Oryctolagus cuniculus: one gene and its partners. The protein of the gene in region 4 interacts with the protein of the main gene of each other region in a biochemical or structural test. Links are inferred from orthologs where the notes say so. Each region holds a gene or a part of one and is shown on either strand. Other genes may lie near its edges.

Region 1 (3,496 bases), on a different chromosome or scaffold from region 4:
TACTTCTCCTGGTCTCCCATGGGGTGCAGGGCCCAAGCACTTGGGCCATTCTCCACTGCACTCCCTGGCCACAGCAGAGAGCTGGCCTGGAAGAGGGGCAACCGGGACAGAATCCGGTGCCCCGACCGGGACTAGAACCCGGTGTGCTGGCGTCGCAAGGCGGAGGATTAGCCTAGTGAGCCGCGGCGCCGGTCCCCACTTCTGGTATTCTTAAAAGCACTTTCCTTTTATGACCTGTAATTATAAGAATAAAACATGATGGCAGCTCAATCTAGAACAGGTTTTGGTGACTCTAAACTTTGGGGGTTGATTCTGTACATATGTAGGAGAGACATCTGGATTATTTGTACATAATGGTACTTTGAATTGAATATGGACCTGGGTGGATCCTTATGCTGTGAAACAATGGAGTGTCAGAGAAGGAATAAAATGGCATCATTCAAGTTATCCCTCTCCTCACCTCCCATATCCCATATTTAATGAAAAGACATGAACACCACTTTTGAAGAAACAGTTATCAATGATTTAATGCTTGATAGAGGAACAGAAATCAATACTTAAATCAAATAGTATGCAGTCACTTGAGGAAAATACAGAATAACCACCAAACATTTCTATTGTTTTAGTAATGAAAATGAGATGTGTCCACCTCTCCAATGTGCTTTACAATTCTGCAGACAGTCTTAACACAGGTCACTGGAGAGAGGTAGATGAAAAATGATGTGCCCTAGAAACTATACAAGTTTGTTGGCTGTATCAGTATTTATATTTGTTTATTGCCATCTTTCTATGTCTTGGCTTTTTTCCAATCCATATGATCCTTTAGAAGGCAAGAAATGTCCATGCTGAAGTTTCAACAGTAACCAACTAGGGTTAATCCATTTTTTTGTTACACCTGCAATAAGAAACCAATCCAAGATGGCACAGTCCTCAGCCAAGAGGTATGGTATTATATCCCTTGGTGATACTAAATGAATGAGCTTTCACACTAAAGGTGATCTGACCTGAAGTATCATGCTACAGGGATATGATTTCTGAAATATCACTGAAAGGCAGAGCAGATTCCACTGAAGCATGCACACTGAATGCAACCAGAGTTGAAGACAAAGTGTCACGGATAAAGCACATTATTATAGGAAAGAAACAATGGACCAGGGACATCGAAGCCAAAAGGAGAAAAATCAACAGGGTTTCAATACAAGGGCACATTTCAAACACAGAGACAAGAAGTTAGAGTGGGTGTTTCTACTGAAGCCTTGGAAGTGCCTAATTTCTAATTAAACTTCAGCTAACACCATCATGTGTGCTATTTGGGACAATGCATTTATCAAAGCTTTAAATTTAGGCAGGAGTGGAATGGAAGGGAAGGAGGCTTAACAAATAAAAAACACTAAAATACTAAAATTCTAGGACTACCCAGTTGGAGACAAGACCTAGGCCAAGTCTACTTTATGGTGCCACCAACCAAGGTCTGAGGGAAGGGAAGTTGGCTGGGAAGCAGAAGAAATTGGTATTTCTTATACCCTAGGGGGTGGAATATCTTCTCAGATGATAGCTGTAGATCTTGATACAATGATCCCAACAATCCAAGACTAGCAGCTGTCCCTTAGGAGTGAGGGCAATGCCCACAGGACAGGTGAGTCCCTCTCGAATCAGGACACTAAAGCCCCCACCCTTAGGAAAATGGAGGATTTCCTTGCGACTACTGTCAGCCACGATGAGGTCACCACGAGCATCCACACACATGCCAGCAATGCAGCGGAAGTCCTCATTCTCTGAGAAGAAGTGGCTGATCTGGCGACCCAGCTGCCCATCAGGACCCACAGAGCCAATGGAGAAGCCACCCTCCAGGTGGTGCTCATTCTGCCGATTCTCCAGATTGAGGCCTAAGCCCTGGGTGAAGTAGACGGTGCCTTCAGCATCACAGGTGACAAACTTGGGCCGCACAGCACTGCAGAGGCAGCTGTATTTGACCACCCCTGCTCCTCGGTCAACAGTGAAACACCAAAGCTTTCCCCCTTCTACATCAGTTACCACAAACTGACCAGATGGCAGGGCTGTGATACCCCATGGTTTGCTCAGCTGGCTTCTATGACAGGCCACGCAGTGGCCATCCAAGGTATATACCTTGAGGGAGTTGTCATAGCTGTCAGTCACACCAATCAGCCCATGGCAGTTCATGGCCACTGAGAGAGGAGTGAGATTGGGCAAATCAGCCCCCAGGAAGCTTAGCACAAAGCCATCAATGCCACTGGGGCTGCGGCGGATCTCCTTCAAAAATCCTTTGCGAGTAAAGACTTGTATGCGGTAGTTACCACGGTCAGCAACCAGCACCTCCCCTTGACTGGTCACATACAGACTGACTGGAAGATTGAACATGCCTGGAGTGCTGCCTTTGGCCCCCATCTTCTTGAGAAATAGGCACTGCTGGATATTGGAAGTGGCCTCAGGACCTCGGTGTTTAGCAGGTGAGGCCCTAGGGCTGGCAGCTACTTCCTCAGGGCTCATGTCCATCTCTCTAAATGTAACAGAAGTAGAGGCAGCAGAAGCTGCAGCCTCCATGGCCCAGGAATCTTCCATGTTAACTGTTCGGGGCTTTTTAACTGCCTGCCCAATTTGGAGGGGGCCGACATGACCTACCTTAAGGAGCTCCACATCTTGTAGGGTGAGCTCCCGGGGCAAGCTGGCAGTGAGCTCTGGCTCTTCCTCATCAGCTGTCTCCTCCAGGAGGGCCACATCTGCCTGCTTGATCTTGGCCAGGAAGTAGTCACAGCGAGACACCGCCTGGACCTCTGCAATGTTAAGCAGGTAACTCTGTTCCTCAACAACCTGAGTATTGGACTTCTCAACTTCAGCCAAAGAGCCTGTGAAAAACTTCCGAGAACGGGCCAGCTCATCCTGGACCCTGCGCTCCTCATGCCCGTACTCCTGAAGAACTGCTTTGTATCTTGCTTGAAGGTCCTTGGACACGCCTTCTAAGGCTACTTTCCGCCGCTGCAGCTCTTCCATGAGCTCCCTCAGACGGGTTAACTTCTCTCCAAAGTCTCGACGCCGCTCCTCAGCTGCCTCTTTGACAGGAAGTGTACTGTGGCCAGGAGGTTGGTGGTCTGCTTCCCGGCAGGGCTCACACAACACCAAGCCACAGCTCCGGCAGAACTGCCGGGGCAGCCGCCGCCCACAAGCGCGGCACATAAGCAGCCCTACAGCCTCACTGAGTCCAGCTGTGTCGATGATCTTCAGCACAGTCAGGTTGTCTGTGAGCTGGGTCAGGCTGGTTATGCGGGTAATCTTGCTGCAAAAGGGACAGCGGACACCATTGATGCTACTGGCCAGGAGCTTCTCCAGGCACTGGCGGCAGATGGTATGACCACAGTGCAGGAGCTTAGGTCGCAGCTGCTCTTCCGTGAAGGACTCCATACAAATGGGGCATTCCAGCACTTCCCGGAGAGCATCCAGGTTCAAGTGAGACGCTGCTGCTGCGGCCATCACTCTTCCT
Region 2 (3,500 bases), on a different chromosome or scaffold from region 4:
CATTAGAGTTAGATTGAACTGAATGTGAATTCTGATTAAAAAAAGTTGTTGATGTCCTTAGGAAGGTGATTATAATTCTCTGGGCCCTCATTTACTATTCTATTAAATCAGGATAATAATGGTGACCTGACCAGATCTAAGGTATAACACCGGGCACATTGTAAGTACCTGATGATTATTGGCATTGTAATTATTATTTTATTATAATCATTATTAAGTGGGTCATCTCATTTTAATTGAGAGCAAGTTGGCAATTATGCCATATTTAAAAGAGAAATAATAGTAAAATTACCTGGCATTGAGTTTATCATCTTTTAAAGAAGATGAAATGTACACCCAAAATAACTGAGACACATGCAAATATTTACTATTTGGAAAGTTACCAGAAGTTACTAGGGAAATACTGCAAAATTTTATTTAATGTGTCACATAACATTCCCCATGGTTTGTTCATATGTTCAAGATTAGAGTTGGGGCCCCATGTTGTGGTGCAGCAGGTTAAGCCATTGCCTACAACACCAGCATCCTATATGAGTGCTGGTTCAAGTGCCAGCTGCTCCACTTCATATGCAGCTTCCTGCTAATGCTCCTGTGAAATCAGTGGAAGGTAGCCCCAGTGCTTAATCCTGAAAGCTCTGGTCTGGCCCAACACCTGTCATTGCAGCCATATGTGGAGTAAACCAGTAGATAGAAGATCTGTTTCTCTCTCTGTCTTTCCTTTTCTCTCTGTCACTCTGCCTTTCAAATAAAATAAATTTTAAAGAAAATAAAAGAATATTAGAGAGCTGAGATTCAAAGAGTGAGGGTTAGTATGTTTATATTCAGGCTACAAAACCTACAAAATCCACAAAGGAGCATATAGATGGATTTGAACCTCTGTGCTATGTTGCTTCTACCTGGAACCTGTCAAGTGTTGTAAGACTCACATAATAAATGTCACTGGAGACCTGCTCTGGCTGAATGTGTCCCCAAGGCTCTGGTCTGTGTGTGGGAGGCTTGGTTCCCAGTTAGGAGGCAATTAGGCCATTGGAGGCATCACACTCGGAAGGGATTCATGTAGTTCTTAGTTCTTGTGGAACCTCAGTTCTCACAAGAGTGGGTTGCCATAAAATGAGGTCTCTTTTTGGGCTTGGCCTCTTTTGTGTGCAGCCATTTCCTTCCTACTTGTCCACAATGTTGTGAGACAGCCAACGGGGACCTCGGAGAGGCCAAACCGATGTAGCTGCCTAATTTTGAACATGCAGCCTCCCAAACTGTGGAGCTGAATAAACCTCTTTTCTTGAGAAGAAAAACTTCAAGTGTCTTTTTTTATATCAACAAAAAATGGATTAATATCTGCAAAATCAATTTTTTGCTGGATCTGATAGCAGAAGGTGACATGGTCAGAACTCTGGATTGATAAGTCTTCTTGTAGCATGGTGCGGGGGCTTTCAGAAGTGAAGAAGAATGGATCAAGACTCCCGTTTGGGGGCCGGGGCTGTGGCACAGTAGGTTAATCCTCCGCTGTGGCGCCGGCATCCCATATGGGCACTGGTTCTAGTCTCGGCTGCCCCTCTTCCAGTCCAGCTCTCTGCTGTGGCCTGGGAAAGCAGTAGAAGATGGCCCAAGTGCTTGGGTCCCTACACGCACATGGGAGACCAGGAAGAAGCACCTGGCTCCAGGCTTCAGATCGGTGTAGCGCCGGCCGTAGCGGCCATTTGGGGGGTGAACCAACGGAAGGAAGACCTTTCTCTCTGTCTCTCCATCTGTCTGCAACTCTAACTCTCAAATAAAATAAATAAAATCTTTTTAAAAAAAAAAGACTCCAGTTTGGATGCTACTGCAAGAATCTAGCAAAGATTTGATGAGAGGCTGACTTAGAGCGGTGCACGAAGTTGTGGAAAGGAGAGTTCTGGCTTGAGAGGCATTGAAAGGGGGTGGCCACTGAAGTGAGAAGACAGCAGGCAAAAGACTGTGTGGTCCCGGTGGGGAAGAGTGGCTGCAGAAAGAGCAGTGCTGTCAGACGCTTCAAAAGAAAAGGAGAATGATTGTGTCCATAGCCCCAGTGGAGCGTTTTGTGCAGCAGCTGCGGCACCGAGAGGGTCTTCACTGTGGTCTGTGAAGTGGCCTGGACCTTTTCCATTTCTCCTTGAGTGCTGCTGGCATACTGCCTTTTCTTTTTGTTAGGAGGGGCCCTATGGATGGCGGGCGAGTTTGTACAGGCTGTCAGAGCTGAATCTCCTATACGAACTCCTGGGAATCTTACAATTCCAATCAAGCAAGGGTTCTGCTTGACTCCCTCTCTTTCCCAGAATAGATGTCAAAGGGAGTGTGCAATTTTGGTTTGCGGGTCACTGACTAATATATGAAAGGGAAATCCTACTGGGAAACTCCATTTTTCCTCAAACTATTGCTCCAGATAGCATTAGTAGCATTATTATTTTTTTGTTTTAAGTGAAAGAAAATGTGTGCCATTCGTTGAAGGGCAGGTGAGGGTAAGTCAGTTCAGAAATGCTGTCACTGCGATTTGAGGGCTTCAAGTCAGGCTCACTGCCTTTCTTTTCTCTTCCCATTTCTGTGGTTCAGTGTTCGTCAGGTTCAACTCCAGCCACGGTTTCCCAGTGGAGGTCGATTCTGACACCAGCATCTCCCAGCTCAAGGAGGCGGTTGCTAAGCGACAGGGGGTTCCAGCTGACCAGTTGCGTGTGATCTTCGCAGGGAAGGAGCTTGGGGATGAGTCAACAGTGCAGGTGAGTCTCCCCGGGCGGATTGCTCCCAGGACACCACTAGCCCGATTGCCAATGCCGCTTCTGCTGCCAATCTGACATTCATGCCCGAGATCTAATAGAATAAATAGTGCCTGGGGATTCCTTGAACTTTACTCCACAATGCTTCATTAATTCTGACCTTCTTAATTATGCATTAAAACGGCAAGCAGTAAGGATTGGAAGCACCGCTGTAAGTGAGGGGGAGAGAGCGCACGGCCCGCGAGCTGGGCACCGTGAATAAATGTTTACTGACTACAGGAGCAGCAAGGCACAATTTCTGTGTCTGTTCAATTTCTACCTTACTTATTCCGTTTGAATCTTAATGAAGAAGGAATCGAATAAATTGTGCCCAATCAGGCTGCTCAGTCACTGCGCTGTGTGGATTCGTAACCCGAGTGTGACCCCTGGAGGACGCTTGGGGTTGCCGCCGCGTGTACTGGAGCAGGTGCCTCTCAGACCCATAGTCAGCTCCTGAGAATCGCTTGACCAGTTCCAGAGTCTGGTGGGGAAAGGAGAAGGCCTGGGCACAGCAGAAGGCTGCTTTGCATGCAGTTTTCCTAAAGTTCTGTCAAATTTTCTCTCAAACAGACCTCTGGCGACTGCAGAGTGAGCCTTGCGTGTCCTCTGCTCCCAGGGCATCCCAGCTCAGTGGTGATTTTTGAGGGAATTGGGGGTTTATGACAGTGCCGTCACCTAGTAGGACAGCCAGTAGCTTGCTGGGGAAGCAGGCCAGTAAAATCTGCATGCTAAAGG
Region 3 (4,046 bases), on a different chromosome or scaffold from region 4:
TCTGTCTCAGCTGCTCTTTGGTGAGTCGATTTCGCTGGAGCCGTTTCCGGTGCTGGATACAACGAACTATCTGGGGGAAGGGAGGTGGACGGATCAGACTCAGAAGAAAACCGGACAAGTGTGAACTCTGCCTCCAGTTCCAATCTGGGTTCCTAAGTCCAGCTCTTCCTATCATGTCCCCTGAGCTACTCACCATCACCGCTCCCATGGCCAAAACCAGCAGTCCCACAATCCCGGTGAACGGGATGAGGTAATAGCCCAGAGGGAAGCTGTTGTCTGGAACCAGAAGCACCCGAGCCCTAGGGAAGGGACAACAGTGTCACAGGGGCAAGAAAGGCCGGAGGACAAAGCACACAGGACAGAGTAACTGGTGCTGCGGCCACGGGGCGGGGCGGGGCAGGAGTGACCTGAGCTGAGTGCTGGGGGCCAGGAGGAGAGGGAGGGAGGCGCGTGTCCTACCCCTTCTCATAGACAAAGAGGGCGCGCAGGTACTCGGAGCTCCTCTCCCCGATGAACACTGACGGGATCCAGATCTGCTGCTGGATTTCCTCTGCAAGGAGCACGCTGTTGGGGGGGCTCACCCTCCACTTCTCAGGCCCTCGGGGAGCCCTGCCGGCTGACGCGTCTGTCCCCTCCCACCCAAAATACTGGCTGCTTTGGCCTGAGCCGTCAGCCCTCCCACCAGCTCTGTCAGCTCTCCGACAAACCCCGCCTCGCAGAGCCACCCACTTACCACTGTTCCACACCATGTTCAGAAGTTCGTTGGAATTCACGTTGTGCACCACGGCTGCCCCGTACCCGGCCTTCTGTGCATTCAGGACCTAGCGAAACAAGGCAGGGGTAGGGAGCCATCATGGGCCTTGCCTTGCTTCATTTCTGGTCCACTCTTTTTCACCCTTAGCTTCCCAGCTCCCACTCCACGTTCAGCAACCTTGAGGTCAAAGTTGCAGTCGAATCTTCGAAGCAGTGCAATAAAGACTGACCCATTGACCGGGGCTGGGGGTGGTGGGGCAATGGGGCTGCAGGCATTGTCTGGGTGAGCCTCCACAAGGAACCCCTGCGGGAGAGAGGCAGATGACAGTTAGGTTTCTCCTCTCTAGGTTCTGGCCCCCCCATACCACACAGCCTCTGTCCTCACTTCCTTCTCACTCCTGGGTCTCGGCACCCCACCCAAACCAGAGTCTGTCTCCTCCCTCAGCCTCCTGAAAGTGCAGCCACATCAAACAGCTGCCTCTCCCGTCCCAGGTCGCCTGCCTGCACGCCATACCTACACTGACGCAGTCCCGCAGATTCAGCTTCCCCACAGATTGTAATTCCATTCTCTACGCAGCCACGTTTTCCTAAATTGTTTTACATTCGCAGCTCCAGTCCACACTGCCCTCCCTTCAGTCAGTTTCCCAACTACCCATCTACACCCAAATCTGCAGCCCACCGAGAGCTGCTATGTGGCAGCCCTGGCAATAAAGTCCTGCAACGCCGCTTATCCAATTGTCACTAATTTAACTTATCTAATTGTAATCACGGTAACTCTGAAGTAACTTCCATGATCACCCCACTTCGCAGTAATCAAAGGCTCAGAGAGATGATATCGAAGGTCATGCGACCAATAGCTGGCTGGGGACCCTACTGCTGAGCGCCAGTCATCGCCTTTGCAGTCTCCGGGTAAGCCCAGAGTGGAGAGTGGGCACTGTCTTCTTCCCCTAGATTCTGGATTCCACGCATGTTCACGCACTTCGATCCTAACCGGACTCTAACTATCCCCAGCCAGACCCGGGGCATGGCTCCTCAACCCCGCCCAGGATGGAGGATTTGGACAAAGAGGGGAGGGGAAAAAAAAAAAAAAAAGAACGCCAATCACCTGGAGTCCCTCCTGGCTCAGGGAGGCCCCAAACAGAGCTGGCAGGTCTGCAAAGTCCATGCTGGCATTGTGCTCCGAGGTCTGGGGGCACAAAACGTCCACGTTCCCCTCCGGCCCGCAACGCCCCCCTCCGGCGCCCTTCCTCCACCCGCCCCACAGACTCACCGCTCGGATGAGGCCCCGGATGGGGGCTGCTCCCCACAGCACGGCGGCCACAACCACAGGAAGCGGGAAGGCCGCGCGGTGCATGGCAGCGGGCGGGGAGAGGCCGAGGAGGCCGCGGCCCGGGAGCAGAAGCAGAAGCGGGGCTCTGCGCCCTCCCCGCCGCTCCCTCAGGATCCCAGGGGTCCAACCACCCCCAGGTCCCACTTCCCAGCTACATGGGGGCGCCGGGGAAGGAACCCCGACCCGGGGAGCGAGGCCCCAAGCCCGTTTAGCGGAGCTGGGTCGGAGACTCTAAATGGACCCTTTTCTGGATTGGGGACAAAACGGGGAGAGGGGACGGAAGGAAACACAGGTGACAGCAAAACTTCTGGAAGGGTGGGGGAGCCCCGGGAGGTGGGACTTCCGGCCAGGTGGGCCGTCTTCCTATCCCTGGGAAAAAGGTTTCCGACAAAGAGTCAGGCCGCTTCCAGCATTGGCCGCTCAAGATGAAGGACTTCCGGTCCTGAAAGGCCGGTTAAGAGAAAAATTAGAGATGGAGGGATTGTCTGTGGAAACGGAGGGCGCACGGCTGCCCCCCAGAAGAAGAGCGAATCATTTCCCCCTTAGTGCCCGGGAACCTGGGGCTTCCCTGTTTACAAACCTCTCCGCTCCCTGTGGCCGCCGCTGCCGCCGCACCTGCAAGTCTCGCGAGAAGGCTTACCAGCCCACTCCCCCGCCCCCACGGCTGCCGAAAGCTTGCTCTACATATCGCGAGAGCCCTCCTAACTCTGGGAGCCGGACTGACTAGATCTCGCGAGACCTCGAACAGCTTGTCTAGTTTCCCGCGATTCCAAGTCGGTGAAGACTGTGCCTATACGCCAGTTTCCAACCAAGCCACGCCCCTTCCCGCACGCAGCCTTTAAGCTCCTCCTTCAGGGTCGCCTTACTCCCGGCGGCCTTTGCGCTTTGCGCCTGCGCGGGCGCCGGCTTGCAGCTGGTGCTGGACCTGGGAGCCGGAGGGGCGTGCGCGCGCGCCCTCGCCCTGTTGCGCGCGCGGTGTCACCTTGGGCGCGAGCGGGGCCGCGCGCTCTCGGGACCCGGAGCCAGGGCCATTGAGTGGCGATGGCGGCGACGGCGAGTCCCGGGGCCGGCGGGATGGACGGGAAGCCCCGTACCTCCCCTAAGTCCGTCAAGTTCCTGTTTGGGGGCCTGGCCGGGTAAGCTCAGGCCCCAGGGATGGGAAAGGAGGAGGAAGGGACGGACGGGCCCGGTTCATCTCTGGGACTGTTTCAGTGAACTGAGCCTGCTTGAGGGTCAGCGCGATCCCCAGCGTGTTGGGAGGTTCCTGATGGGCTGCCCCTGACTGCATGCAGGGTCTTGGCACGATCCCCCACCCCGCACCTCCCCAGTCCGTTGCTTGGTTCCGCAGGGCTGTTTAGGGTTCCATGACTCTAGGGGACTACTTAGTGCCCCAGGTCGTGGATACGCCCTTGGCCCGCTCCCTGGGTCGCACTGCATGCGGTCCCGGCCCACCGGGCCCACCGATGGACTCCCGTGGATCTGCTTGGAGTAGTTTCATTGCATGACCCCTAATGGACAATGGACTTTCCAGAACCCGCTGCTGTTGGTACACACAGAGACTGTCAGACACATGCCTACCAGCCCTCCTTAATCCCTAATCCGAGGCAGGCCCTGACCTTAGTAACCCCTTGTGCTAGGCTGCAGTAGGCAGCGGGAGATCTTGCACACGTGGCCCTTGACCCTGCTCCCACCTTCCTCCAGGATGGGAGCTACGGTTTTTGTGCAGCCCCTGGACCTGGTGAAGAACCGGATGCAGCTGAGCGGGGAAGGTGCCAAGACCAAAGAGTACAAAACCAGCTTCCATGCCCTTACCAGCATCCTGAAGGCGGAAGGGATAAGGGGCATTTACACCGGGTACTGGGGCCTCCAAGGTTGGGGGGAGGGTGTGGGTTTGGCAGATGCAAGCCTTGGCCCCACACACTGACCCCTCTGCTCTCCAGGCTGTCAGCTGGCCTGCTGCGCC
Region 4 (3,458 bases):
GTTTTCTCAGGGTAACTGTTAAGCACAAAAACTCAGTGGGGGGGGGGGGCAGGCTTTGTGGCCCAGTGCATCAAGCTACCACCCGGAGTGCCCACATCCCATACACCAGTGTCACTTCTGGCTACTGTTTCTATTTTTAATATTTGTTTTATATGCAGGCTTTGTGGCCCAGTGCATCAAGCTACCACCCGGGGTGCCCACATCCCATACACCAGTGTCACTTCTGGCTACTGTTTCTATTTTTAATATTTGTTTTATATATTTGAGAGAGAGACAGAGCTCTTCCATCCACTGGTTCACTCCCCAAATGCCTGCAACCACCCAGGCTGGGCCAAAGCTGAGGTCTGGGTGGTGGACCCAGGTCTCCCATGTGTGTGGCAGAGCGCCAATGACCTGAGCCATCGCCACTGCCACCCAGGGTCCGCATTTGCAGGGAGCCGGAGCCCGGAAGTGACCCAGGCACTGCTGTCATGGAGACGAGCATCTCAACTGCTGGGCTAAAAAGCCAGCCTCTGGTCATTTTTACTTTGGTCTCCTGATTTTTATTTGTGGAAATACATGATGTGCACCAATTAAAATAACTCCTGCTTCTGTGGCTCATGCTGACTGGTCCTTGCCCACACTGGGCTTCCCACTCATGGAGACCCCTCTATAAATCCTGGGGTTCTGGTAGACAGGGTGGCTGGGGGAACTGGTGTAACGCAAATCCTGAAGAGCTTTTTGGTTGTGTAGCCACTGCCTACTAAGCATTCTATCACATGCAGACTATGTTGTACCTCAGGTTTTATGAGGTATTGAAGATTGTGTAGTACTACCAGCTAACACAAGAGGTCAGCAAACAATTAGCTATTCATGCTTCAAAATGCTAATATTTAAACAGTAACCTTGCTGAAGATGAACTCAGGAGGGTACCGAACTTTTAGCTTTTTGAAGACATTACTTTTAAAATTGACAATTCCTGACACAGGACCAATGAACATTTAAAACTATATTAACTTTCCGTTTATTAGAGAGAGATTTTCCATCTGTTGGTTTGCTTCCCAAACGTGCGAACCTGCCAGAGTGCACTCTGCCAGGCTGAGACCCCACCTGGCCTCCCGCATGGGTGGCTTGGGTGCATTCGCAGGACCAGGCACCCCAAACAGCAGTCCCACAGTGTTATTCCTAAACAGTTGCTATTGTTTGACTTTTCTTTTAGGTTACATTTCGGACAAGAATCTATCACTGTAATATTAACAGTCAAGGAGTTATTTGCTTGGACATATTGAAAGATAATTGGAGTCCAGCACTAACTATTTCTAAAGTCCTCCTTTCCATCTGCTCACTTCTTACAGACTGTAATCCTGGTAAGGTTAACAATTCTCTACCTTGTTTTATTTTTCCTCACCTGAAAAAGACAAAAATGAAATTGCTTTTCAGAGAAAGTTCTAATGGAGATGAGTTGGCAAAGGGAGCAACTTCACCATTGTCTAGTATGTTCTAGGACAAAGTATTTTAAACTGAAGAGTCTAGTCTGTCCTAACCTCACCTGGCTCACTGTGCCAGAGCTGCTTACGGAGGCAGGGCTCAATTTTGAAATGGGATTTCTTTGCTAAATACTTAGTGACTACTGAAGTGTGATTTTGTTGGGACTGCATTCCATTAAAAGTTTTCCCTGGATAAGCTAATGTAAATGTAAAGATGCTGTGTTAAGTTGCCAGAAACACACTGTTCTCAACTGCAGCCCAGGTGTTGGCTGGCAACTGGAAGTGCCACGGCCACGAAGAACTCATACAGTGCCTATCGCCACCACACACGGCCACGAAGAGCTCATACAGTGCCTATCGCCACCACACAGCCACAAAGAGTTCATACAGTGCCTATCGCCACCACACACGGCCACGAAGAGCTCACACAGTGCACATCGCCACCACACGGCTGACGTCCTTTGTAGCCTGTAGCCCTGAGCCCGCCCAACATGTTAAGAGCAAAAGCGACTTACTGGGTGGTGTTGGTTGAGAAATGGTGTTAACCAAGCAGTAAAGCCAGACCAGTACTCTGTCCCTCCTCCATGCAGTGTTTTGTAAAGTCTGGAAGGAAAAATACCCAGAACAGTAGAGTGGTGTCTGACTGTAGAGTTGAAACTGCATTTTCCTTTCTCCGGAGTAACCTACATTCTTCTTCTTGCAGCCGACCCTCTGGTGGGCAGCATCGCCACCCAGTACATGACCAACAGAGCAGAGCACGACCGGATGGCCCGACAGTGGACCAAGAGATACGCCACATAAACGGGGTTTTCACAGTGCTTACATTACTTGTCTGTCACAGAAGAGAGCTGCTTATGATTTTGAAGGGATGGGGGAGGGTGGGAGTTGGTAAAGAGTAGGGTATTTCTATAACAGATATTATTCAGTCTTATTTCCTAAGATTTTGTTGTAACTTAAGGTATCTTGCTACAGTAGACAGAATTGGTAATAGCGACTTTTAAAATTGTCATTAGTTCTGCAGTATTAGCTAAAATGTAGAAAAGAATGTACATCTTGACATTTGGGTTTGGTTGCTTGTAGTCTGTAAAACAGCTTAATTTTGTACAGGTTACATACATGGCCATTGATGTAAAGTCCCTTTATGACTACATACTTTTGTTTAAAAAAATTGGAATTTGTTTTTCTCTTCTTGCAAGAGAATATTGATATTTAACAGAGTTTTTAGAGAGACTCATCTCATATATATAAAATGGACATGTGGCTATAAGACACCATATAGGAAATGAGTAGTTGATGTATTTTATTTTATATGCCAATCTACTTTATTGTGAAAAGATTAAAAGTTTGAATCAGGACTTGTGAAACCTGTAGTGAAATACCTTAAGCTGTTACCTGTGAGGCGTGGATAGGAGTTGCTCGGTGGATTGGTTATATGTTGTGGACTACTTAAGTCCTCGTTTGTTACTGTGCTAATAAACAATATTAAAAACAACCACCTGGTGCTGCTGGGTTTATTTTGTCTTTATTGACAGATCTTTGCTCTACAACAATTAAAAATACTTAATAAATAGCACTTACCTATGTTAGAATAGATACTTTTATACAACAGTAGACTTTGAGACGTCTTAGAGAAGGTTAAATAACAGGTTTTCAGAGACGAAGTGTCCTGCATCTCTTTACAAGCATTTTCTAACCTGCAGGTGCTGTGGGAGCAAGTCCACGAGAAACGGGTTGTGTCACAAGGATAGCTAAATGGGCACCACACTGGAGGGCAGTTTGACCCCACTTGAGGCTACACCTCCCATAACCCAGCAGTTCTGCTTTTGGGTCTCCTCCAGAGAAACCCAGCCAGGGCCACACACACTGACTACAGCATTTTAAAAGAATCCACTAACACAGATCTAAGCTGCATTCTGTGGAAAAAAAGCAAACTGTAAACGATCAGTAATCACCCCAGCTAAGCAGGAGTGTGCCTCAACAGCTGAGCGATAG
Region 5 (3,500 bases), on a different chromosome or scaffold from region 4:
TATGTCAGGATGCCTGGGTTTGATTACTGGTTCCAATTCCCTACTCCGGCTTCCTGCTAATACAGACCCGAGAGACACAGATCTTAGCTGAAAAAAATGAATTCATCTCACTCACACAGGGGAACTGGTTCATTCCTGGCTATCAGCTTTGGCCCTGGCCCAACCCTGGTGATTATGGGCACTTGGGGAGTGAACCAACAAATGGAAACTTTCTTCTCTGATTCTCAAATAACAAAAACGCAAAAAAAAATTATACTACAATACAATGTTATCATTCCCATCATTCAAATAAATATCTACTTATAGAAAGGGAGAAAAGCCATGCCAAAAAAATTAATCCTTACTAAAGCCTTCTGGGTCTTCTTCCCACATTGTCAGTTCTTCTTCAGTTAACAGAAAATAGTGAGAGACTAATCTTCGACAGATCTCTGTCAAAGTGGGATATGTGAAGAATGCCATCTTAATCTTATGGGCTTCAAGAGTTTCAGGGCTGCTATCTAGAAAAATAAAACTTCCAAGTTAATTGTACAAGGCAACATTCAACTAACTTAGATAATGACACTTAAATAAATAAAAATAGACTCTCAGGGTAAAAGATATACTTGTGTATAGTTTTTCAGTTTTACAACACACATATTAGACAGTCTTAACTTTATTTAGAACACACATCAATGCTATTTCTGCCTTACTGTTACAGCTTATAAAGTTCTGTGCTGCATTATCACAACATAGAGAAGCAACTACTCTTCTCTCCCCTAGATTTCCTCATTCATCATGTTACACATGCATATGAATGAACCCCAAATAACATAAGAAACAAACTTGTTGCAAGCAATCTTATTTAAAGTAAGAGAAAGCTTTTAGTTGTTCAAACAAATAGCTGATAACATAAATTTCAGTGGTTCTTAAACCTATGAAGTTTAACTGCTGCAAAAAAAAATAGTTTACTAAATGTACTGCATGGTTTTTTTGGGGGGAAGCTGGTATTCACTAATTAAAAATGGCATTCCTTATCAATAAATGAGTTTCCAAAAAAATTATCAAGAGTGCAATTATACTTAGAGTAAAATAAAGAAAAAATATTTTTAAACTACCAGTAAAGTATTACCTTCAAAATTTTTAGATGGCTTATAAGCATAATTTTTGACAATCATCTTGATAAGATTCATGCATTGGACTATGAATCGCTCAAATGTAACACCTTCACCAACGTCGGTAAAAACATAGCTTACAGAAAATTCCAGTGATCTCTGAATTAGAGGAGTAAATGAAAAGGGATGCTGATCCAAGAAGTCCAGAAGCTATAAAGAAAGAATTCAAAATGCATTTTTCCCAAATTCATACTAGAATATAATCACTCCAATTGCAATTCTTCTAACACACATTTAGTAAGTTTTGAACCCTGAAGTGGAGTCTGTATTTGAGGTTTTACATTTATGATGCCCCTTCTTGGGATACATGATTTATGATGGATTACATCAGATTCTAACCCATAAAAAGAATTTGCTATTATTTGCAGTTCAGGCATCAAAACAGACCCACTTCATATTTAACATAAGAGTAAGTAAATATGTTAAAAACAGTTTAAGCATATTAAGTATAAGCCTTTAAAAGTCATAAAGGAAAAGAACTGAAAAATAACCCTGTTTTTTCTGCATAAAACTGTACTTTGATTTATCAAATAGTTGATGATGGAATTTTTTTGTTAATAAATATAAAAGGAATAACAGAATAGAACACCATCATTTTACAACCTCTAATCAAATAAAGGACCGAGGCAATGATGAAAAACGGCCACTGAAATCATGAAGGGAAAGGCTGTTGAGGAATTCTGATAGTTTACTCATCATCAGTCATAGCCACACAAAGAAAGACAAGCAGATAGTATGTGCTTTGTACTATGAGGCAATATGAAATACAAAGCACCATCTAGAAGGTATTCTTGTTAATCCTACCCTATCCCACAAAGCAAAAGACGGAGTGAGATTAAATCTCTACATCTAACTGCAAAGTCACAAAAATATGGAAGGAGGAGTGCAGACACAAAGGAACATATTAAATGACACACAGGGATAGAAGCTGACTAGTGCAAAATACAGAAAATTCTATTGGCGCTCTTCATCAACATTAACAATAGAAAATGACACTATTTGAATCCTACTTCCTATAAAACAATAAAATTTTTGAAAAATCAGAGATATTTAATAACTGACAATCAAATTAGGAAATTCATTATTGTGAAACACAATGATTTTGATAAGATTTTTTTTTAGTTTATTTTTATTTATTTTAAACACAGATCGACAGAGACAGAGAAATCTTTCACCTGCTGGTTCACTACCCTAAATGCCTGTAATAACTACACAGGGCTGGGTCAGGCTGAAGCCAAGAATCAGTAAGTACATCCAGGTCTCCCACATGAGCAGCAGGGACCCAACTATTTGAACTATCATCACATTTTCTTTTGGGGGAAGAAAAAAAAAAAAAAACCCTCAGGTGTGTGTTTGGCACAGCAATTAAGATCTTGATGTTCCTAACCTATATCATAGTGCATGAGAGTCAGCTTCCTGGTAAGGTACATCACAGGAGGCAGCAGATGATTGTTCAAGTACTTGGCTCCCTGCCACCTACAGGAGAGACCTGGACTGAGTTTCTGGCCCCTGGCTTCAGCCCAGCCCAGTCATGGTGGTTGTGGGAACTGGGGAATGAGCCAGGGGACAGAAGATCTCTCCGTATCTGCCTCTGTCTCTCAAATATGTTTCTTTAAAGATTTCATTGCTTAGCAACACATACTCAAATATTTTGCAGATAATACTAAATGAAATCTGAAGTTTGCTTACAGGGGTGGGGAACCTTTTGTCTGACAAGGACCATTTGGATATTTATAACATTATTCATGAGCCATACAAAATTATCAACTTAAAAATTAGCCTGCTTGAGGCTGGTGTTGTGGCATACTAAGTGAAGTCTCTGCCTGCAGTGCCTACATCCCATATGGGCGTCAGTTTGGGTCCCAGCTGCTCCACTTCCAATCCAGCTCCCTGCTGGTGCACCTGGGAAAAGAAGATGGTCCAGGTCCTTGGGCCCCTGCACTCTCAGTGAGACCGGGAAGAGGCTCCTGAATTCAGTACAGCCCAGCTCCGGCCCGTTGCAGCCACTTGGGGAGTGAACCAGCGGATGGAAGACATCCCTCTTTCTTCTTTCCTTCTGCCTCTCTGTACCTCTGCTTTTCAAATAAGTAAATAAATCTTTAAAAAAAAAAAAAATTAGCCTGTTCGCTGTGACACCGTAGGTTAGTGCCAGCAGCCCATATCGGTCCCTGTTCATGTCCCGGATGCTCCTGTTCTGATCTAGCTCTCTGCTATGGCCTGGGAAAGCAGCAGAAGGTGGCCCAAGTGCTTGGACCCCTGCACCCACATAGGAGACCATGAAGAAGCTCCTGGCTCCTGGCTTTGGATCAGCCCAGCTCTGGCCATTTTGGCCATTGGGCAAGTGAACCA
Region 6 (3,500 bases), on a different chromosome or scaffold from region 4:
AAATTTGGAATGCAAATTATTTCCTGTAAGTTAAGCATTGTAACTATAAAGGCATTTAAAGAAGTTGATGTTTATAATTGCCAAATGTTTTCCAGACGGGGAGTTTTTCCTTTTTATTCCTTGCAAAAGTATTTTTCATTTCTTATTTTGTTGGGAAAACTACACAGCATGTTCAGAGTCTACAATATGGATTATCATTAACATGAAAAGTTTTGAGGGAAAATGTTTTTTAAATTGAGTCAGGTCTTTCGAAGTTGATTGTGCTTATGCTCTGAGATTTTATGTTAGTTATACATTCTTATTTGAAAGGCAGCGGGGAGACATACACAGGCAGCAATATACCAGCTGCTGGTTCACTCTCCTAACGCTGGCAACAGCTGGTGCTGGGCCATGCCAAAGCCGGGAGACTGGAACTCAGACCAGGCCTCCTCCCACGTGGGTGATGGAATCCAGTACTTGAGGCAGCACCACTGTCACGGGTGTTCATTAGCAGGAAGCTGGAATTGGAGGTCGAGCTGAAATCCTAACCCAGGCACTCCACTGTGGGATGCAGGCTTTCCAAGTGCCATCCTCACTGTGCCAAAGACCCTCTGTGCCTTTGTGTGCTCAGTCTGTGTGTGTGTGTGTGTGTGTGTGTGATGCTTTTAAAACAAAGGATCTGACCTTAAAAACCTGAATAAATAAAGCTTTGTACTAATGAATGTGGGCTAGATGCACAAAGAACTTTTAAAATGTTTTTTGGCTAATAGAAGTTATGATTACCAAGAATGCTACGCTGTTCAGTCATCATTGCGGAAATTGTCATGCTTTTCTCCTCCTTTGATGCTAGTTTTGGACAATTTCTTTGCCTCTTTTAAGCCTCCTAGTAAGCTAGGGGCCTTGGCTATCACAGCTGAGCATAAAGAAGAACGCAGAAATTCTAGGCGATTGAAAAATTAATGTTCATAATTAACTCTTGTCTCTGCTTTATTTAATTCTGTATTGAGTTTGCCACAGTTGGTACAGAAAAAGGTGCAAAAAGAGAGTTTAATTTTTTTCCTTGAGTCTTGGAAAAAGTATCCTTTTAGTAAAAGTGACTTTTTTCTCTTTATACTTTGAAAGTTGAAGAACCACCTTATGAGGTAAATTTCATGCAGCAATTTGTTGAATATGTAAATTTTATGGTACATGAAGCTGTAGTTGAAAATTTAAAATATTGTATGTTGAAATTAGTATTATCTTTTAGGACAAAGCAAAGGTAAATTCTGGCAATAAGTACAATGACAACTTTTTTGGACTATACTGCATTTGTAAGAGACCTTATCCCGACCCTGAAGATGAGGTAAGAGGATTGGAAATTAAAACCTGGACCTGTTACCTTAGCCTTGACTTCTCAGCCTCTTGGCACCCCTGGTCCTCTGCAGCATTTCAGGAGGAGTTTTGGGAATGTGGGAGGATTCCAGATGTATCTCTCAGGAATATGGGTTGGATCTATAACTGGTACAGAGCTCAACTCTCGTTTCTTTGATCATAAAAATGAAATATTGGAGTGAGTTTTCCCAGGACCAAAATGCCTCTTCTCAGCAACGTTCCTGCCTGCCTGCTCCATCCCCCAAACACTTTCTAAGAGACCTTCAGCTGTTTGCCTCTTTGGAAGGAAAGAAATGGAGTGTACAAAGTGGATCCTTTGAGCAATTTCAATTCGAAGAATATACAAAATTTAGAATGGATTACTTGGTCCTGCACCTCTTAACTCCCAGGCATAACCACTGTTAACACTTTTTGGTGTATAATTTTTTAGGTCTTTTTCTGTGCACTTAAAAGTGATTGAATGAATGTATATTTATTTCAATGTGTAGAGTTTTTTTTTTTCTTGAAGATGTATTTATTTAAAAGGCAGAGTTACAGAGAGGCAGAGAGAGTCTTCCATCCACTGGTTTACTCCCCAAATGGCTGCAGTGGCCGGAGCTGATCTGAAGCCAGGAGGCAGGAGCTTCTTCCTGTTCACCCACCTGTGTGCAAGGGTCTTTCACTGCTTTCCCAGGCCACAGCAGAGAGCTGAATCGGAAGTGGAGCAGCTGGGACTTAAACCAGTGCTCATATGGGATGCTGGCGCCACAGGTGGAGGCTTAGCCCACTACACCACAGTGCCGGTCCCATGGTTTCCTTTTGTAACCAAAGTGAAAATTCCATGTATTCACTCCTGCGATTGGCTTTTCTCAATCAATGTATCATAGACTTCCTTCCATACCAACACATATCTACTTGGTTTTATTGTTGGCAGAATATCCTGCAATTGGACATGCCGTGAGTTAACTAACCTAGCTCTTGGTCTGTAGCAAAATAGCATGGTGTGATTGATTTTTCACCTCAGTGAACACTCTTCTGCATTAATGTGCTGAACACTCCCCTGCAGGTATCAGGTAGTGTGGCTGCTGGTGGTCATAGGACATTGGCTTTTAAAATTGAGACTGTGTCTGCCGAAAGGATTCAGCCACCAACGGTATTGATTTCCCCCCAGTACTCCAGTTAACTGTGCTCATTACCAGTCCCTTAAAACTTTGCCGTTCTGATAAATGAAGAAAAATACCTTTCTTTTCCCGATCATGAGTGAGATTGTGCATCTTTTCAAGAGTTTTTTGGATGTTTGTAGTAACCTTCTCTCTGAATTGCTCTTCATATCATCAGTCTATGCTTTGATTGGATTGGGTTTGTCTATTTACTTATTGGAGGCTTTTTACATTGCGAGAAATTAACTTTATGTTTTCTTCCTTGCTTCCTAATTGTCTTGCAACTATAATTATTAAACCAAGTGGCATAGAGGGACAAATTGAAGATATCTTTTTGAGTTATCAAAAATAAAACTTTAAAACTGGATATTTTAAATGATAGGGTAAAGTTTTCCTTTTTTTTTTTTTTTTTAAGATTTATTTATTTGAAGGGCAGAATGGCAGAGAGAGGGGGATAGACAGAAAGAGACCTTTCATATGCTAGTTCACTCCTCAAGTGGCCACACCTCCAGGACTGGGCTAGGCTGAAGCCAGGAGCCAGGAGTTCCAGCTGACTTTCCCACTTGGGTGGCAGGGACCCAAGCACCTGGGCCATTTTCTGCTGCTTTCCCAGGGACATTAGCAGGAAATTGGATTGGGAGTGGAGCAGCCAGGGCTCAAACCAACATTCTGATTCAGGATACCAGTGTTGCAAGGGGTGGCTTAATCTGGTACACCTCAATGCTGGTGCTTCAAGTGTTACTTCCAAAAGTGTTGTAAAAAGACAAAATAGAAGATGTTGAATAAATTGACAAAAGCAGAGAAAACAATAAAACAGTATTTTTAAATATATGTGTGTGGTGGGCATATTTTCCTTTAAAAAATTAGGAAGAACAACAAGGCAGTGTTATATAAAATAGAAATACCCTACTTATCTCTAAGGTTTTATGAGATTCAGATATTAGGTATCTGCTTCGAAAGAGCCTTGATAACTGCTTGCGAAGTGCTGTCTCAGTGTAACCCTTTGTGACA
Region 7 (3,937 bases), on a different chromosome or scaffold from region 4:
GCCTGTGGGTACTGACCTAACCTCCCACCTGCCTGTCCACCCCTCATAGTAGTTCCTGGAAAGAAAATCCCTCAAGGCCAGACCTAGGGTCCAGATGCTATCTGCAGGGGAGATAAGTGCCCACTGCCTCAACTCAGAGCGAAGTTTAGGAAGGAAGAGCCGGGGCTGGGACTCAGGGGTCCAGCCAGCCTCAGCATCACAGGCCCGGCTCCAGCGCAGGGCCTGGAGCTCCGCGGGGCTCACACCTGCCAGGGCGGTGTGGGGATCACAGGTGAGGGCAGGCTGAGACCCGGGGGCTCAGATGCCCGCAGGAGGCATCCAGGGCTCCGCCCGCGCCCGGGGCTGGGAGGACACCTTTCTCCAGGCCGGTCCTGGGGTGCCTTCCCTGCGGGCCCTCGCCCACCCCTCCTGCCCACCCGGCCCCTGACACCCTGACTCCCCTCCCCAGGCTGCGGGACACCCAGCTCCCTGCTTCCTGCCCAACTCTCTGCTTCTTCCGCCCGGTACTCCGGCTCTTGGCCCCAAGCTCGCTTCCTCTGGACAGCCCTCCCAGACAAGCCGGTTTAGGGCCCCTCTGGGCTCGCCAGTGGGGACTGGGCCCGGTCCTCGCGGGGACGGTGACCGCCCCGCCCCGTCCAGGGCCTGGTACCAGGCGGCGCTGATCCAGGCCCGGCTTCCAGCTCGTGCCCCGGGAATATTCCTCTCCAAGGTCTCGTTAACAGGCAAGGAAACAGGCCCGGGGAGCTGGGCGCAACGTCTGGTCTGGACCAACGTCCAGCTTGACGTCGCCGGCCGGCCTCGTAAGTTAGCGCCATGGTGGCTGCTGTGCGGGGTGGCAGCGCAGGACCGGGACCGTTCGGAGCCCCCTCGGCTCCGGAGAGCGGGTCACCGGGGGTCGGCGGGCAGCTGCCGCGGGCCAAGCGCTCGGACCACCCTCAGACTACAACTCCCGACAGGCCTTGCAGGCGGCGCGGCGCGGACAAGCTCTCTCGCGGGAATGCGGGGGCTGAGGCGCGCGAGCGTGGGCGGGGCCGGAAGCGACGCGGTTCAAAGTGGTAATGGACGTCTTCCTTATCCAATAGAATTGGAAACAGGGCTCCTTCCCCGGCAGCCGCGGGCGAAGGGGAGGCGGCGGCCACTGGGGACGCGCGGGGGGCGGGGCCTGGGCCTCGGGAGCGGAAGTGGACTGCTGTGGAGGCGGCGGCGCCTGGCTCGGGGGCTTCTCCTCAGCGGCTTAGAGGTGCTTCCTCGCTCCAGGACAGTGGCGGCGGTGCCTCCCGGACCGGAGCAGCTCCGAGTAAGGCCCGCTCCTCGGGGAGGGAGCGGCGGCCGGGCCCAGCAGACGCCGCGTTCGCGCGGCCTGTCCAGGCCTCGGCGTCCGCGCCTCCGGCGGCCGCCCAGCGCGGCGCGACCCGCTGCGGGCCCCGTGGCCGGCCGGGCCTGCCGGGACTTCGGGCCGCCTCTGCCCACCCGCCCCGCCGCCTGCGCCGGCGTCCCGAGCCTCGCTGGGCGCGGGAGAGGAGGTCTAGGGGGCTCCCCCGGCGCGGCCGCACGACCGGGCTCGGAACTCCGAGAGGGAAACTGAGGCTCGGGCCGGGGCGCCCAAGGTCACGGGAGAGGCGCCCGGGCCTGCCGGCGGCGGGGAGGCAGTGAAGGCTCGTGTCCTCCTTTGTGCTGGCGCCGCCGCCCGCCGTCGGGGGCCCGCGAGCTCGCCGGAACGCCTGGCCGCGTGGCGGGCGCGCTGCTCGGCTCGGCTGGGCGCGGGGCCTGGAACCGGGGAGCCCGCGCTTCCGGGTGCAGCGTGTGGCCGCCGCCCCGGAGGCCCGTGTAGGAGCCCGCGGCGGACCCCCGGGCGCCCACCAGCGTCCACCTCGGGCGGGGAGGGCCGAGCCTGGGCGAGCCGCGCCTGCGGGATGCAGCTTTTGTCTTCCTGCGGCGCCCGCGGACGCTCGGGGTCTCGGCCTGCGCAGCCGTGCCGGGGTCCTGGGGGGTGAGGCGGGCGGCCCGCGGTCGCACGGTGGAGCCGAGTTCTAGCTGCGGGACCCGGAGTGCGGGCCGTGTGGCCGTGGGAGGCGGCGGCGTTGAAGGGGATTTTTTTGCTCTGGGTCGGTTTTGCTTGTGAGTTTGGGGTCGTTGTGTTGCTTGAACTTGACCTTCCAGTCCTGACCCGGAACCTCACTAATGACGCTTAAGAGGGTCCCGACTGCTCGCCGCCATGACGTTAGGGCCGCGTATATGGGCATACTGTGTGTCTGGTTTTTATTCTGTGAACATCTGTAGAGAAAGGGAGAGACAGATCTTCATCTGTTGGTTCACTCCCCAAATGGCCGCCGTAACCAGGGCTGGGCTGGGTGGAAGCCAGGAGCTTTATCTGAGTCTCCCAAGGCGGCCCAGGGCCCAAGCACTGGGGCCATCTGCTTCCCGGGCGCATTAGCAGGGCTTGGGATTGGAAGTGCAGCAGCTGGGATTCCAGTGGCTTCCATTTGGGAGGCTGAAACTGCTACACCAGAGTGCTGGCTCCTATGGTATGTCCTTTGTGTACTGTACATATATCTGTTCTTTTTTTTTTTTAAAGATTTATTTATTCACTTGGTAGAATTACAGAGAGAGAGGAGAGGTAGAGAGATAGAGGTCTTCCATCTGCTGGTTCACTCCCCAGATGGCTACAACGGCCGGAGCTGCACTGTTCCAAAGCCAGGAGCCAGGAGCTTCTTCCGGGTCTCCCACACGGGTGCAGGGCCCAAGCACTTGGGCCATCCTCTACTGCTTTCCCAGGCCACAGCAGAGAGCTGCATGGGGAGTAGAGCAGCCAGGACTCAAACCGGTGGCCGTATGGGATGCCTGCACTGCAGGCTGCGGCTTTACCTGCTACGCTACAGCGCTGGCCCCCATGTATCTGTTCTTAATACATAAAATAAGTAGGATTTTTCACCCTCTTTCAGAAGACACACTTTAATATTCTGAGCACAGTTTTGAAGCAAACAGTAGTGGATTACAACAGTGAACAAAATAGGAATGTGGTGCCTCTCCTGGAGCTAAGGGCTGAGAGACCCAGAAAGTCCCTGACACTGAAGTACAGACTGTGCAGGAAGTGTGGCAAGAGATGGGACAGACTGGAGACACACGCAGGATCCCGAGAGATGGGACAGACTGGAGACACACGCAGGATCCAGAGAGATGAGACAGACTGGAGACACACGCAGGATCCAGAGAGATGAGACAGACTGGAGACACACGCAGGATCCAGAGAGATGAGACAGACTGGAGGCACACGCAGGATCCAGAGAGATGAGACAGACTGGAGACACACGCAGGATCCAGAGAGATGGCACAGACTGGAGACACACGCAGGATCCAGAGAGATGGCACAGACTGGAGACACACGCAGGATCCAGAGAGATGAGACAGACTGGAGACACATGCAGGATCCAGAGAGATGAGACAGACTGGAGGCACACGCAGGATCCAGAGAGATGGCACAGACTGGAGACACACGCAGGATCCAGAGAGATGGCACAGACTGGAGGCACACGCAGGATCCAGAGAGATGAGACAGACTGGAGACACGTGCAGGATCCAGAGAGATGGGACAGACTGGAGACACACGCAGGATCCAGAGAGATGGCACAGACTGGAGGCACACGCAGGATCCAGAGAGATGAGACAGACTGGAGACACATGCAGGATCCAGAGAGATGAGACAGACTGGAGGCACACGCAGGATCCAGAGAGATGGCACAGACTGGAGACACACGCAGGATCCAGAGAGATGGCACAGACTGGAGGCACACGCAGGATCCAGAGAGATGAGACAGACTGGAGACACGTGCAGGATCCAGAGAGATGGGACAGACTGGAGACACACGCAGGATCCAGAGAGATGGCACAGACTGGAGACACACGCAGGATCCAGAGAGATGGCACAGACTGGAGGCAC

The links.
Region 1: the proteins of UBE2E1 (region 4) and TRIM32 form a complex in vitro, tested with the Homo sapiens proteins (2 studies listed by BioGRID). The link is inferred for Oryctolagus cuniculus from reciprocal best matches to the Homo sapiens genes UBE2E1 and TRIM32.
Region 2: the proteins of UBE2E1 (region 4) and PRKN form a complex in vitro, tested with the Homo sapiens proteins (2 studies listed by BioGRID). The link is inferred for Oryctolagus cuniculus from reciprocal best matches to the Homo sapiens genes UBE2E1 and PRKN.
Region 3: the proteins of UBE2E1 (region 4) and RNF167 form a complex in vitro, tested with the Homo sapiens proteins (3 studies listed by BioGRID). The link is inferred for Oryctolagus cuniculus from reciprocal best matches to the Homo sapiens genes UBE2E1 and RNF167.
Region 5: the proteins of UBE2E1 (region 4) and IPO11 form a complex in vitro, tested with the Homo sapiens proteins (2 studies listed by BioGRID). The link is inferred for Oryctolagus cuniculus from reciprocal best matches to the Homo sapiens genes UBE2E1 and IPO11.
Region 6: the proteins of UBE2E1 (region 4) and UBR7 form a complex in vitro, tested with the Homo sapiens proteins (2 studies listed by BioGRID). The link is inferred for Oryctolagus cuniculus from reciprocal best matches to the Homo sapiens genes UBE2E1 and UBR7.
Region 7: the proteins of UBE2E1 (region 4) and RNF4 form a complex in vitro, tested with the Homo sapiens proteins (2 studies listed by BioGRID, with this or other methods). The link is inferred for Oryctolagus cuniculus from reciprocal best matches to the Homo sapiens genes UBE2E1 and RNF4.

What each region holds. Positions count from the first base shown.
Region 1 is NC_091432.1:220,212,418-220,215,913, reverse strand, and holds the end of TRIM32 (E3 ubiquitin-protein ligase TRIM32), read right to left. Parts: 5' UTR 3,487-3,496; coding exon 1,525-3,486; 3' UTR 501-1,524; downstream 1-500. UniProt on the Homo sapiens protein: E3 ubiquitin ligase that plays a role in various biological processes including neural stem cell differentiation, innate immunity, inflammatory resonse and autophagy.
Region 2 is NC_091436.1:6,277,527-6,281,026, forward strand, and holds part of PRKN (E3 ubiquitin-protein ligase parkin), read left to right. Parts: intron 1-2,565; coding exon 2,566-2,729; intron 2,730-3,500. UniProt on the Homo sapiens protein: Functions within a multiprotein E3 ubiquitin ligase complex, catalyzing the covalent attachment of ubiquitin moieties onto substrate proteins. Substrates include SYT11 and VDAC1.
Region 3 is NC_091448.1:51,300,652-51,304,697, forward strand, and holds the start of RNF167 (E3 ubiquitin-protein ligase RNF167), read right to left. Parts: upstream 2,801-4,046; 5' UTR 2,664-2,800; intron 2,526-2,663; 5' UTR 2,108-2,525; coding exon 2,024-2,107; intron 1,940-2,023; coding exon 1,859-1,939; intron 1,058-1,858; coding exon 932-1,057; intron 822-931; coding exon 734-821; intron 551-733; coding exon 460-550; intron 300-459; coding exon 194-299; intron 71-193; coding exon 1-70. Other genes in the region: SLC25A11 (mitochondrial 2-oxoglutarate/malate carrier protein), read left to right, coding at 3,125-3,219, 3,785-3,937, 4,024-4,046.
Region 4 is NC_091435.1:159,786,927-159,790,384, forward strand, and holds the end of UBE2E1 (ubiquitin-conjugating enzyme E2 E1), read left to right. Parts: intron 1-1,198; coding exon 1,199-1,346; intron 1,347-2,169; coding exon 2,170-2,267; 3' UTR 2,268-2,958; downstream 2,959-3,458. UniProt on the Homo sapiens protein: Accepts ubiquitin from the E1 complex and catalyzes its covalent attachment to other proteins. Catalyzes the covalent attachment of ISG15 to other proteins. Mediates the selective degradation of short-lived and abnormal proteins.
Region 5 is NC_091445.1:83,312,004-83,315,503, reverse strand, and holds part of IPO11 (importin-11), read right to left. Parts: intron 1,302-3,500; coding exon 1,109-1,301; intron 498-1,108; coding exon 345-497; intron 1-344. UniProt on the Homo sapiens protein: Functions in nuclear protein import as nuclear transport receptor. Serves as receptor for nuclear localization signals (NLS) in cargo substrates.
Region 6 is NC_091451.1:38,190,981-38,194,480, forward strand, and holds part of UBR7 (putative E3 ubiquitin-protein ligase UBR7), read left to right. Parts: coding exon 1-25; intron 26-1,225; coding exon 1,226-1,321; intron 1,322-3,500. UniProt on the Homo sapiens protein: E3 ubiquitin-protein ligase which is a component of the N-end rule pathway. Recognizes and binds to proteins bearing specific N-terminal residues that are destabilizing according to the N-end rule, leading to their ubiquitination and subsequent degradation.
Region 7 is NC_091433.1:1,254,021-1,257,957, forward strand, and holds the start of RNF4 (E3 ubiquitin-protein ligase RNF4), read left to right. Parts: upstream 1-1,137; 5' UTR 1,138-1,297; intron 1,298-3,937. UniProt on the Homo sapiens protein: E3 ubiquitin-protein ligase which binds polysumoylated chains covalently attached to proteins and mediates 'Lys-6'-, 'Lys-11'-, 'Lys-48'- and 'Lys-63'-linked polyubiquitination of those substrates and their subsequent targeting to the proteasome for degradation.